Drosophila melanogaster: one gene and its partner. Changing the gene in region 1 together with any one later gene gives a genetic interaction. Each region holds a gene or a part of one and is shown on either strand. Other genes may lie near its edges.

Region 1 (6,977 bases):
GATTCATGCAAATTGCCGCATCAGACGCGTCTACTTCTCCGATCGTCTCTACTCGGAGGACGAGCTGCCGCCGGAGTTTAAGCTCTTCCTTCCCATTCAGAAGCCGGTGCAGAAGTCCAATGCGATTTGTAGCTAAATTCTGTATGCATCATCAATCAATTAGAGCACCTAACCAGACGGAGTCGACGATTAAAACGGCACAAAATGCACAAGACTGCCATCCAGCACTCATTCAACACTTTATGGGAATCACGAATAAAAATTGCATCATGTACATAAAATTCTATTGATCTCTTGTAAGTATCTCCGTTCCCGTCTCGGTTATCAGAATGGTGTGCTCGAACTGGGCGCTACGTGCGCCATCCAAACTAATGGCCGTCCAGCCATCTTGCAGCACTGCTATTTCTGCTCCGCCCAGGGACAGAATGGGTTCAATGGTGAAGGTCATGCCGGGCTGCATCTTTCCAGGAATCTCATTATCTACGATGTGCAGTTTGATTAGCAATGGAGGAGTCTCTTAAACAGTCTTACTTACAATAGTGTAGTATCTCCGGGGGGCCGTGGAAATAGCTACCGATTCCATGTCCAATGAAAGCAGCTATCGATGCCAGATCATGTTCGTCGCAATATCTGTCTATGAACTTTCCAATCTCATTGAATTCCACACCGGGGCCGCACAGCGAAATGCACTGATCCAAACAGGATTTAGTGGCCTCCACGAGAAAGCCACCCCGTTCGTCCACGTTGCCCACCCGAAATGTTTCCGAACAGTCGCCATGGTAGCCGTTCAAAAAGACTGTGACATCAATATTTATAATATCCCCATCGGCCAACTGCCGGTCATCCGGAATTCCGTGACAGGCGATATTGTTGATCGACGTGCAAATGGACTTTGGGAAGCCGGCGTATCTCAGCGGCGACGGATACGCTTTGGACTCGAGAATTCTTTCATGCGCAAAGGCATCAATCTGATCGGTGGTTGTGCCAACTGTTGCTAGTTTACCGCATTCGCGCAGTATCCTGGCCGCCAGTCTGCCGCTTAGACGCATGGCATCAATCTGAACCTGGCTTTTGATTTCGGGCGATCCCAGCGTGTTACCCGGTGGCATATTCTTGAAGTAGTACGCCGGTTTCTTGATCTCCTCGGGCACAAAACGTTCCGGGGAAACTTGGCCGGTGGACACGATCTGTTCATATTTGCCAGTATCTCTGTAAGTATACCCATCAGAATAGAGTCCTGAAAGAGATAAGCCGGAGCCCATACCCCTTAACTTTGCCGAACTGAAACAAGTTTCTGGCAGTCGTTTTCTGGCGCATTAAACTATTTAAAAGACCAATTCTTCTCATTTTGTTTTGATTATGACATTTTTGCAGTGTGGCAGTGCTGTAAATATTTTTACAGATAACAGCCGAGTGTTAGGGGTATTCCCCCTTTTTTGATAACGGCACAGTGCTTCAAGTTTTTGGAAACTAAACAATTTATAGAGATGTAATATATATTTATACATCCTTACTAACTCTTTGCATTGTAATCTAATAAATAAAAGAAAATCGAGTTGTTTATTGTACTTTGTTTATAATATAATATCTGCAAAAGTGTTTAAAATATTATTTATGCCACATTAGGTTCGTATTTGTTTCGTACATGATCTCCATATAAATTAAATTTTCCATTTGCATCTGGCATGACTGCGAAGCGTGCAAGGGGAAACGAGGGTGTTGCAGAAATTTAATATATCTTTTCGGAATTCAATAGAAGTTGTGCAAAACAGCACATGGAGTTCCTACGATCCTGCGGCCTATTTTTCAGAATATTATGTGTATTATATGTTGACATCGCTCATCATTTACTTTACTATTAGCCACACAATAAGACTTAACTTTACTCGGATTTTTAGGATACAGTCGACTTAAGAGCTATTTAATGCATAACTTTAAATTCTTAATTAAACAAAGAAATCTATGACCTCTTCTGTGATACTATTGCGAATCAGATAAGCCTCCGCGCAAAAGAGAAAACATTTGTTTCGATTTTGTCAATTAACGTTATCTCTTACTGGAGTAATGATTTTTTTTTTTAATATTTTTGGATTCTAAAATTTGTGAGTGCAGTTCGGAAAACGGAGATTAATACATTTGTTACATTTTCAATGTACGATGTCGGTATTGCATAGTTTATAGTGTACTTTCGATTTTCGGTTTATTTCTCATTAAATAATTACAACTTAGGCGCTCCCCTCGATTATGTATCTTTTGTATAATATGAACGAAATACGCGTTGTCAAACGGGCCGTGGATCGCTCGCTTGTTTACTCTGACGTCGATTGATGATGTGTGCCGACAAAACACAAATGTCCCACATCTATGCACTTATCCATCATCCGCTTATGCCGGCAGCTGGAGCTTCTTGCCCTTAAGAACTTTGGTAATGTATAAGTAGAAGAAGTCGCAGTACAAGACGGTCTGGACAACTCCGGCGAAGATCGCGATAAGGTCGTAGTGCGACTCGACCATGTACCGGTAGACCCAGTTGAGCAAGTAGAGTGCACGGTACGATCCCAGGGCGAAGAGGTAGTGGCTGGTGATGGACTCGGCCTCGCCGGTTCTGCTCACTAGGAACAGCTGCGGCAGAATGGCCACCGATTCCAAATAGATCGAGAATGTCCACAGCACTTCCATCACGGTAAACTCATGATTGATCACCAGCGAGAGCAGGGCGCACGGCACCAGCAGGAATTCGATGCGGAACGAATCGTGATTGTGGTCATAGGTGGCCTTAAACTTCACGTACATCAAATACACGGTGGCACCGGACGTGGCCAGGAACAACACCTTCATCACCGAGTTGTACAGGCTCACGTAGGTGGTGAACAGATCCAGGTAGCGCGTCAGATAGACCACGGCGAACAGGATCTGCGACTTGCCCGATATTCCGGCGCACGAGCGGGTCTTCCATATCTTCAGCAGCAGTATTATGATGGCAAACACATGCGACAGATCCCCAGCAAAGCGAAAGATATTCATCGTGATCTAATCCGCCGACTTGGCTACTTGGCTGCCCGGTTGGCTGTTTGATTGTTCTACTTCCTTTCGCTGCGGCTGCGTCACGGAACGCACGCCTATATGAAAATGGGAGTGTATACTATAGCAATAATGGCGGCATTCAGTGTTTCAACAGCTGCATACGTTACCAAAATGACTTTTCGCCTAATTTGCCAACGAGTAGAGATGTGAGGGCTTTGCCGCTTCGGAAAAAAACTTGTCAGAATGTCGGCATAAACAATGACGTGGCTGATGAATAAGAATAAGTTTGATAACATGGCCACTGCCTATCGATATCGATAAGTGCCGCCACATGATTTTTTTAATGAAAATTCGACCATCTCTAACGAAAAAAATTGAGAAAAAACATACTGATTCAAATTTTTTCTTTTTTCGTTTTTTATCATAAGATTTAAAAAAAATTTAATTTTTTTCTCTTCTTTTGCTAGGGATAGTCGAATGTTTGTTTAAAAAATCATGTGGATTATCAATAAAAAATTTATATTCGATAGGCTCGATTGAAAGACACCAGAAAATGCTGACCGCCGCACACGCCACTCGATTTATTCTTCATGCCTATCGAAAAAAGCCGTGGTGAGGTTCCGGCATCTGTATTTTATTTACAAGCGATAGAATTAACATAGAAATCAAATAAAATGGTAAGTAAAAACACTGTTTTAAGCATCTGACTGCAATGGTTAAGTTTTGTTTAGTTGTATTAATTCATAGATTCTTACTTTCGCGGTTGCGATTTCGTATTTACATAGGCATACATACATACAAACATGCATGCGAATAAATAAAACAATTTGTTTTGGCTAATTAACTATTTTATATTTGTTTAAAATTATGATTTTTAGTGATCTTCGATATTACGCTGAGATTTGCTATTTCAAACTCTGTGGTTTATTAAAATTTTTATAAATACCGGCTTTTTTAAAGGGTCGAAATGGTTTACAAAAGATGGCGCGACTTTTATGCATGCTATTGTATTTCACAATTAAATCCTTTGAATTCCTTTATTTCAGACGATCGGCAAGAACAACAAAATGATTCAGCACCTGAATTATCGGGTGCGAATCGTGCTGCAGGACTCGCGTACCTTCATCGGTACCTTCAAAGCCTTCGACAAACACATGAACTTGATCCTCGGCGACTGCGAGGAGTTCCGGAAGATTCGCTCGAAGAATTCCAAGGTGCCCGAGCGCGAGGAGAAGCGCGTGCTGGGCTTTGTATTGCTGCGCGGCGAGAACATAGTTTCACTGACGGTGGAGGGACCACCGCCGCCAGAGGAGGGCCTGCCCCGAGTTCCCATTCCGGGAGCAGCTCCTGGTCCGGGAATCGGTCGCGTGGCCGGACGCGGAATGCCTATCAACTTGTCCGCCGTGCCAGCGGGTCTCCAGGGTCCCGTGAGAGGTGTGGGCGGACCCGCCCAACAGCACATGGCTCCGATGGGACGAGGAGTGCCACGAGCACCGATGATGGGTGCACCGCCACCGGGCATGATTCCCGGCGGCATGCCCTCGATGCCAGGAAACATGGGACGCGGTGCTCCGCCACCGATGCGCGGACCGCCGCCCAGCATGATCCGTGGAGCACCACCACCGGGCAGGGGTGGCTATTAAGTATAAAGTACAATCTAATAAAAACTCATTTAGAAAACACCACTTAATCGATGGATTCGTGTATTTATGTGTTGAATGTAAGCATACGTACATACAATGATTATTGCTTTACATCAATTATATGAGAACCTAAGCAGCAGGGACTGGATTTGGTCGTTGCCAGCCACATCGTTCGTTAATTGGGTGTTCCAGTTAAGACCGAAACGCCTCGTGAATGATTATACCTTTGGTACGTGCGTGTGCGTACAGGATGTTTTATGCCCAGATGTTGGAGAGATCCCAGATCTTGATGAGCCTGTCCTGGCCCACTGTCAACAGGCGCTTTCTGTCCTCGTCCAGGTCCATGTAGACGATCGAATGCTTGGCGTCATTGAATGAAGCCAGCGAGGGGCGCTCGACTGTCTGAAGTTGTTTGTAGCACGGATCACAGGTACGCACATCAAACTCGAAGCCCATTATGGGTATGTTAATGCGATTGGTGGAACAGTTGTCGCACACGGCTTTGCCGCAGTGGCGACAATGATGCTGTCGTATTCCTGACAGTCAGAAATTACTTGTAAAACAAAGAGTAACTCAAGTGTAAGCTATTTATCTCACCCAGCTGCTTTTGATCCATCATTGAGCGGAAGTTCCAGAAGAAGGGCCTGGAGCAAAGCTGACAGTTGTTGGTATCCACCCAGCCAGGAACCTCTTTCCGCATTGCATTCATTTCCCAAAAAACCACTACTGAATCTTCGCCACAGCTTATCAGTTGTTGCGTGTGATTCGCGTACGACAGGGCGGAAACTTTGTTGCTACATAATCAGAAGTGCCGATTACTATCTTATTTTATGAATATTATTTAAGATTGGAGATACCTATGTCCCTGCAGCTCGTAAATGGTGCCACGTTTGCCACCAACATCCCAAACTAGCACGGACTGATCGCAAGCTCCGCTAAACAAGAGCTGAGGGCCTTCCACCCATTTGAGGCACCGGATTTCCGCTAAAAATTAACCAATTCGTATATAATTAGCTTACTAAATATCATTTGTAACTTGTTTACCCGAATGTCCATTGAAAGTGGTAATTAGTTGCACTCCCTGAACATCGCACCTTAGCATTGTTATCTGTCCAGCATGATCGCCCACAAAGGCATACTTGGCCAAAGCGTCGAACCTAAACGCAGATTATAATTAATTATATGTTGCTTATAGAATATTTCGCACAGTGCACACATTTATGCCAAAATTTTGTGTAGATAAAATGACTCAGTTGACACGTCATTAACAATAGAAGGTTCTCAAATTCTAAATGAATTCCATAGCCGTGAAGAATTGCAGTTTATTGCCGTGTCAAAGAAAGCAGTTTAATCCAATTAAATGACCCGCTTATCCCATATCCACTGTCGCACCCCCTTCCCCCTTTCACCATCCATTTATCATACTTACTGGAGAGCCGTGCATGGTGTCTCAAAGTTGTATCCGCCCACCCGTTTGCCGCTCTCCGTGCAATGATAGGCGAACTGCTTATCTTTGCCGGCGGAGAGTATCCACTTGTGGGTTTTCGAGAAGACCACGGCCATGACCCGCGCTTGATGGGACAAGTAATCCCGCAGGAAGGACAGGCGATTGCAGTCTTCGGATAGCGCGTACTGGGTGACCGTTCCGTTTTCCTGGCCGACGTACAGGTGCCGGGATTCCGAAACGTACTCGATGGCCGTGCAGCCGGAAGGCATATACTGGCAAATGCTAGGCCAATATTGACCAGAATCGCGTTTTAGCCAAACGCGAACGGTTCTATTGGGGAAAACATGAAAATGTCAGGCATACCATTTGTGTATATTTTTAATGGGCTACAGCTACGCACTTGTCATCGGAAACGCTAATTACGCCGTTTTCGCCCGGAATTAGGATCGCTGCGTTCACATCGTCGCTGCTGCCCTCCAGCTTACTCAGCAATTCCGGCTTTTTGGAGGTGTTAAAGCGATCATTGTTGGTCCGCTGAGCTGGTTTTATCTCGGCAGCCATATTATTTAAGGTGGATCCAGTCCGATGGTACGCCTACGCCCTATTTAACGCACTCGATGATAATGCGGTTATAAACAATCCGATTCTCGGACTGGGGAAGGTGAATGGAGATACGTGATTCACAATCAATTAACAAAACTGTGTTATTTTGTTTAACATTAAATATACTGAACTTTGTTGTTGGAAAGCTCGTCTAGATAGCGACGCCAAGTTTAGGAATGCTGCGGAATAGTGGAATCGATGAAATGAAAATAGAATCTTAATTGTTAGATATAGTTTTTGCGTATTATTGTATATTATTT
Region 2 (6,642 bases), on another chromosome or scaffold:
GTAAGACAAGATATTTTGGCATGTGATTATCTCATCCAAGACCGCCGTGAGCCACATGTATACATCAGATATATCACATGGATACACAAGTGCCCGCATCCAATGGATGCAAACCAGCTGCAGCGGCATTTGCAAGTGCCAACATGCGCCACATCAATCTGCAGCCGGTCCGAGGCACGTTGAGCGTTTGATTAATTTAATGACAATGCCCGGTGGCGCTATTTCGCTATCTGGATAGATGGGTGCAACCCACATATGTATACTCGTACCAGTTCCGCCGATCGTGTGCGCATGCACCGATGATATAAACTTTCCCAAGCTCGCCATCTCTACTGCCATTCCAGCTCGAATCCCTGAAGGAATAGTACGATTAAATTAGTCATTCGTGTCGTTGATTTATTTTAGAGCTTCCATAAATATAAAGCTTACGTCTTTCAAGTATTTCACGCTTTCTGTCCATTGTTTTCTTTGTTTCTTCTATTTTTAAAGCACATTTGTTTAATAAACATTTATTTTTTTTGTGTGCTTGACGTCACAACTGGTAAAACTGTGGAATTTTAATGTTGTAGTATTGGTTGTCTTTACTTTTGCAATAGTTCGGATATTTCAATTAAGTTACAAAACATATCTTTGTCTAGTTTTACATGAGTATATCGAGAACTTACTCACTATTCTATTGCTGTGTTTTTATTCTTTTAAGTTATATGTGTTCAAAATGGTACTTGAAATTGATGATTGTGTTTCTTAATATTTTCAGCTGGTAATCACAATATAGATTTGCCAAAATGCCGAAGCCACTGTTAAATTCGTGCTGTCTGTGCCAATCGACCCGGAATGGCTCCGTTATCTCGGGCATACTGGCGATAGTCCTGTCGATCATCACCATCGTGGTGATCTTCACGACGCGGGTGCACTTCAAGACGATAATCTTTGACTTCATCCCCAATGACATTGTTAAGATAATTCTAGTCATCAATTTGTGCATGACGATCTTGATATCGCTGCTCATGATCATTGGTGCCCTGAAGGTGTGTACTCAGCTAATTTAATTAAATGCATACAATAAAAATCTATCTATGTTCCAGCGGAACCACTACCTGATGGTTCCATGGGTGGTCCTCGGCATTATGATTGCCATCGGTCTGCTGATCTCCGTCATCTACACGGGCATCGTCTTCTTCATCGACGGCTACGTGCTGACGGGAGTCCTCTGGCTGATCTTCGGCCTAATTGTCTGCGGTAAGTGCACTCCCTCTTGGTTGGTGAAAAATGGGTGAGGGGGGGGGGGGGGTCTTGCTACTTCTCCATGTGCGGTTTTTAGCACCGGATGACGGTTATTGCGAGCCGTTTTTAATTTATAGACGCATTTATCATGCCATGATTGCCCGTGTGCTGAAAACAGAAGTGCCCCGGCGCCGCAGACTAGAGGATTTTGGAGGTAACTTGCCGGGTGGTGCAAGCAAATGAGGCGCAAAGTGGCTTGTTGAGGCCATTTGTAGAAATGTCAGCTGCAGAACTTTGATAGGAGTTTATTGGGAAAGCTATACGATTGTTAAATAAGCTCATTAAATGAATCAAACAAATTTAATTGTATTAATTCAGCGGTATAAAAGTTAAAGAACCGAATCACATTGTGAATGCTTCAGGTTTATACATATATTCCTCGCTTTTTTTTTACTTTTGAAAAATGATATTTTTCAAGTTTTACAAATTTGCATATTAAATTTGATAAAAATTAAGTGCTTACCGAAAATGAACCACATACGAGTTAAAAGTCAATTTACATTACATCGTGTAAAATCGGATGCAATTCATGTAGAATATAAAATGACAGCACTCTTTTGCGCGCACATGCCCTAACCCAATGTTCCTCCTCCATCTTTCAGCGATTATGACCTATTGCTGGTGCGTGGTCTATAGTGAATACGCCAACCTGTCCGAGGAGAACGAGCGCGGTCGTTACAACAAGCAGCCGTACCGTCGCTAGAATCTCCAGGAGCACTATTCATCAGAAATTGCATTCAAGAAGCTGAATCCACCACCCACACATCTTCATCCTAGCTTCCTATGTTCGTTTTTAGTGATTATGTCTAACTAATAATTATAATTTAGTTGAGGCGAGCCAGCCCTTCGCTCACATCGAATTTACGCGGCCCGTGGCATTAAGTGCAATGGAATTATGTATTTAACATTTAAATAAAACTTTAATCCAGATATTATGTGAATTTCTGTTGTAATTTGTACGTAATACTTGTAATTGTGAAAGAGGAGTTCAAAAACCGAAAACTAATAACAAAAATAAAAACAAACTATTTATCAACCGTTTGAGAGGACGAGGTCTTGTGTGTTTGTTGTTTTTTATTTCAAAATATAGGTTTTATCTTTAGGCATATATAGTTATATTCAATTCTCTCAAAGTCTATCAAAATTGTAAATTAACTAAAAATATGGATGTGTAGGGGGCGTTTCATGTGGTTGTTGTTTTAGCTAAGTGGGCGTGTTCCATGTAACTACACAAGTAACTGACTGCGCTCTACAGCTCGCTGCGCGAGTACTTGGGCTTCAGCTCCTCGATACGCTTGATGAAGTCGCCCTTCTCCAGGCAACCGTCACAGCTCTCGTCCCAGTCGTTGAGGATTTTCTTCAGGTCGCGTACCTTCAGCTTCTTCAGGTCCACGCTGTTCAGATCGATTTGTTTCTCTGCAATGAACAATCCACATAAATAAATGTTTATAGAAGTATATTAAGGCGAAGAGCAGCGACAGAAAAGCTAAATGTTAAGCCAAGTTAAGAGTTTTTGTTTCTAATAGACACCCTAGATTAATTGACTCTTAGTAAATGACGATTAACGTTTTCTAATAATCTAAACCATTAACATTCATTTTACAAACAGACCTATCTCATAAAATGTAGAATTTTATGCGAGTTACCACAAAATAATTTAACAAGCTATGATATAATAGTAAAGCATACATGCGAAATTGTATTCCTGAATTCTTTCCTTTTGCCAAGAAATGCTAGGTGCTTCATATTGAATTCTGTATACCCACACTTCCTATATATGTATAGTTCCTAACTAAAATATTTACCATAGCGAAGGTCGCAGATTTGTGCGTCCTTCTTCTTCAGCTTCTCGCAGATCTTCTCAGCTGGCATGGACCAACTGAGGGGTTTGCTCAGCTCGTTGAGGATGCCCGTGGCGGATTCTTCCAGACCGCCGAGGTAGTAACACTACGAAGAAACGCATACGTGTATCATTTTTCCCAGAGAATAGGAAGTGAGGGAGAGGGGGCGGCACTTGTTTGCCGGCTACTCACGAATCTGTGTTCCTTGTTTTTCTGCGCTTTGCAGAACTTTTTGAAGGCCGTTTCGATCTGTTTGTAGTCCTTCTTGGTGGAGTCGTCCAGCGAATCTGCGAACCGCCTAACCGTCTTGACGCAAACTGCGGAACGAAAGAATGGAGCCCGGTGAAAATCTGTTCCAGAACATCTCAACCACTTACGTGGCCAATCACATACCTTCGCAGTCCTCCTCTTTCAGGGCCAGCGACGTTTGGGCCAACGTCGCCAGGAAGCCGATCACTACCACCATGTACCACGTCTTCATTTTGTTATTACTTCGACTGTGCTTGAGCGTACTTTAATTAACTGTACTGAATTCTTTGCATGCGATTTGATTTTGTCCCCGAATTGTTAGCGTTAGGTGGCCGTAGATATGGGTGTTCACCGATAGGTCAGGCATCGATAAAAGTACTCATTTATCGGCGGGGCAGCGCCACGTTTTCAAATTGGAAAACAACCGATATGGTCATACTATCGGGGTCCGGAATTTACTGGCTAACAGGTGTGGGGATCGCTCAGCTGCTCCGTTTTACGCAGAGGCACTCCTGCTCAGTTTTCAATCACGCGCGAATGCGAACGGAACTGCGCGTCGTGGAATTATTTAAATTAGTTAAAGCTAAGCAAATATGCTCGACTGCACGTTGCCCGTGACGTAGTCTTGGACTTAATCCTCTTCCAGTCCCTTAATATAGCACCGTATCTGTGTAATCGCCAACAGTATTGACCAAGTCGTCCAAGTGCTCACTACTCCCTCGGCTATTTGGAGTTATTGTAACCGTTGGCAACTGCCACAGCAAACGTATTTACAATTATCCGGATAAAATTTGCAATTACACACCTTGCTAAAAATAAAACGGAAAAGAAGCAGCCCATTATAATAAATCGTTTAAAATGCCTGATGTGAAGTTCTTTGCCGTGCTGCCCACCAATGCCAGTACCTCGGATCGAGTAACCCGGCTGTCCATCAGCGGCAACCTGCTCCAGGATCCCCAGCAGTGAGTCCTTTGATATTTCGCGTTTAAATTCCGCGAACTTTAAGAAAATCGATTAGCCACTTCCCGCGAACTGAGGTGGAGAAATTGCCTCTTTGCGTGCTGAAAATATAAATATAGTGTTCTTAAAATCGTTTACGTATGTGACCCGATTAGACGAAATACTCACCAAACTCGCGAACAATTTATGGCGCACACAAAAAACATGCAAATGGGCTCATGAATTTAAATAATTTATACTTCTTCTGCCAGATGATGTTTGTTTTTTATAAATTCCAAAGACCTCTTATGAGTTTATGATCTATTAGGGCGATAAGGCGGTGGTGATGGGACCATAAAGAAATCTCTGCCAGATGTATACGTAGTCGTCTGGTTTTACTGTATCAAGTCCATCGTATATGACATCACCAGACTAAAATTGAATCAGACACGCGCTGAAGATGCCGGCTATGAAGAAAACAACAAGCCAGTTGGATGGCAAAGAATAATACCATGAATTATGTATGCTTGAGGGTGGGAAGTTGTTAATCAGCTTATGAATGAATGGTCAAATGATGTCCATTAATCAGAACCATCAGTTACATCACTCAAGAATCCGGGTTTCTAATTGAACAATTTCAACGCAATTGATAAATCAAGACAATACATTTCTTATCTGTTCTTTAGATCGATAAGGTTCTAGTGATAGCTACCTAAATGTGTCATGATAATATTCCGTGACACTAGTAGCTCTTGTATTTCGATAAGGGGCATAACTTACTGGAAATTCCATAGCTTGACTAACGGATTTTTAACAATAAATCGCTGAAAATTCCAATTCCGTTCCTTGAATGCGCTGCACGTTTTCGCGCCTACTCACACTCACTATTAATGTCTGGGAGCTCCGGTCCCCAAAAACGAAAGAAAAAAACTCACCGAACCAGCATGTGCCATTTAAACAATTCTGATGACTAAGCGCTTGAGGGGGTCAAACAATCAAATAACGACGTCATTAGCACTGATATGTGATAAGTTATATCGCTTTAAGCGAGGGTACTACTAGTGCTTGTGATTTTATTGAATATAAAATATGCATATCATATTTACTTCATTCACACTTTGCTATTTACCGCCTTTGATCAAATGCATAGTGAAGACTATGTCGCTAGGCACGTATTAAGTTAATTTTTAGCTAGTAGCTAGTTCATTAGCACCTAAGTGAGACATATACATCTGATTTTTTTAACAAGCATTTGTATGTTTACCTCCGCTACAGATTCTCGGTGAACTTTGTCAACAGTCCGGACTGCACGGACAACATCACATACCACTTCAAGGTGGTGATTCCCACACAGACGATTATCGAGAATTATAAGCGGAACGGCGAGTGGAGCAGCCTGCACCAGGAGAAGTACCTGAACATCTTCGACGGTACAGGAGCTAGCGATAAGAACCCCAATATGACAGAAAGCTTTGCCCGCATTATAACCGAAATTGACGAGGCGCTCCAACTTTCATCCACAGAGTCCTCCTTTTGCCTTGAGTTCGCCTTCGACTACGCAAATTCAATGATGCGGGTGTACCAGGGTAGGGATTCGGGCCACAATTTCATAACCGAGTACGAGACTCTCTTCTCCCTGTCCGACATCCAGGCTGTACAGGTGTGGGGCGATGTACAGAAGGTCAACCAGTTTGCCCTAAGCTACAACTGATCGGGAGAAGAATCCCAAAGATCCCATGATCCCCAAGGTAGCCCGCAATGTTCTCTTATTTAATGCATTCTTTCTTCAATCGCATAGATTCAAGTTCGGTGGCGGGCGTCCTTAGTCCTAACACCGCACGACCTTAATCCCCTCACCTGTAGTTTTAATTAGTTTGTTGGATTCCGCACCCATCTAAATCACTTCGCTGCAGTAGCAACACGCTTTCACTCCTTCGCTTGTTAATGCGTTGAGTATCATTATAATTTGACTACAAGTTCTTGTTGATCGTGGGCTTAAGAAACATTTTCCCATCAAGATGATTGTGGTTTTTTAACAGTATTAAACCAATATTTATTTATTTGCAAAAATCTCAAAAATTTAATTGAAACACCTGTTTTCTTTACGTTCTATGTTAAATTGTTTAAAATTTTAAAAGTACTCAAAATTTTAATTGGCATTTGAATAGGTTTTATGCCCCATTTCTTGCAACATAAGGCAATATCATTTTCAATAGTATTGCTGGATTGCAGCGTTTTCCACTTATATCTTTATGATGCCGTAAGAGTTTGATAATATTCCATTGTTTGATAAACCAAATCAGCATTAACAAACACACATTCACGGACT

The links. A genetic interaction does not mean that the proteins touch.
Region 2: of KdelR (region 1) and Manf, changing one suppresses a phenotype caused by changing the other (phenotypic suppression), as found in Drosophila melanogaster (one study listed by BioGRID).

The regions. Positions count from the first base shown.
Region 1 is NT_033779.5:10,423,218-10,430,194, reverse strand, and holds KdelR (KDEL receptor), read right to left. Parts: upstream 3,309-6,977; 5' UTR 3,187-3,308; exon of another isoform or gene 3,120-3,186; 5' UTR 3,025-3,119; coding exon 2,386-3,024; 3' UTR 1,563-2,385; downstream 1-1,562. Other genes in the region: Bug22 (basal body up regulated gene 22), read left to right, coding at 1-136; CG5188 (uncharacterized protein), read right to left, coding at 284-480, 536-1,209, 1,265-1,347; small ribonucleoprotein particle protein SmB, read left to right, coding at 3,699-3,701, 4,071-4,667; Wdfy2 (WD repeat and FYVE domain containing 2), read right to left, coding at 4,923-5,203, 5,265-5,461, 5,525-5,651, 5,712-5,824, 6,097-6,444, 6,515-6,675. UniProt on the Drosophila melanogaster protein: Required for the retention of luminal endoplasmic reticulum proteins. Determines the specificity of the luminal ER protein retention system. Also required for normal vesicular traffic through the Golgi.
Region 2 is NT_033777.3:16,346,475-16,353,116, reverse strand, and holds Manf (mesencephalic astrocyte-derived neurotrophic factor), read right to left. Parts: upstream 3,714-6,642; 5' UTR 3,607-3,713; coding exon 3,519-3,606; intron 3,443-3,518; coding exon 3,318-3,442; intron 3,232-3,317; coding exon 3,090-3,231; intron 2,701-3,089; coding exon 2,534-2,700; 3' UTR 2,316-2,533; downstream 1-2,315. Other genes in the region: CG10311 (uncharacterized protein), read left to right, coding at 786-1,028, 1,086-1,239, 1,887-1,987; CG14879 (uncharacterized protein), read left to right, coding at 4,233-4,336, 5,589-6,024. UniProt on the Drosophila melanogaster protein: Required during the maturation of the embryonic nervous system for maintenance of neuronal and cuticular connectivity. Essential for maintenance of dopaminergic neurons and dopamine levels.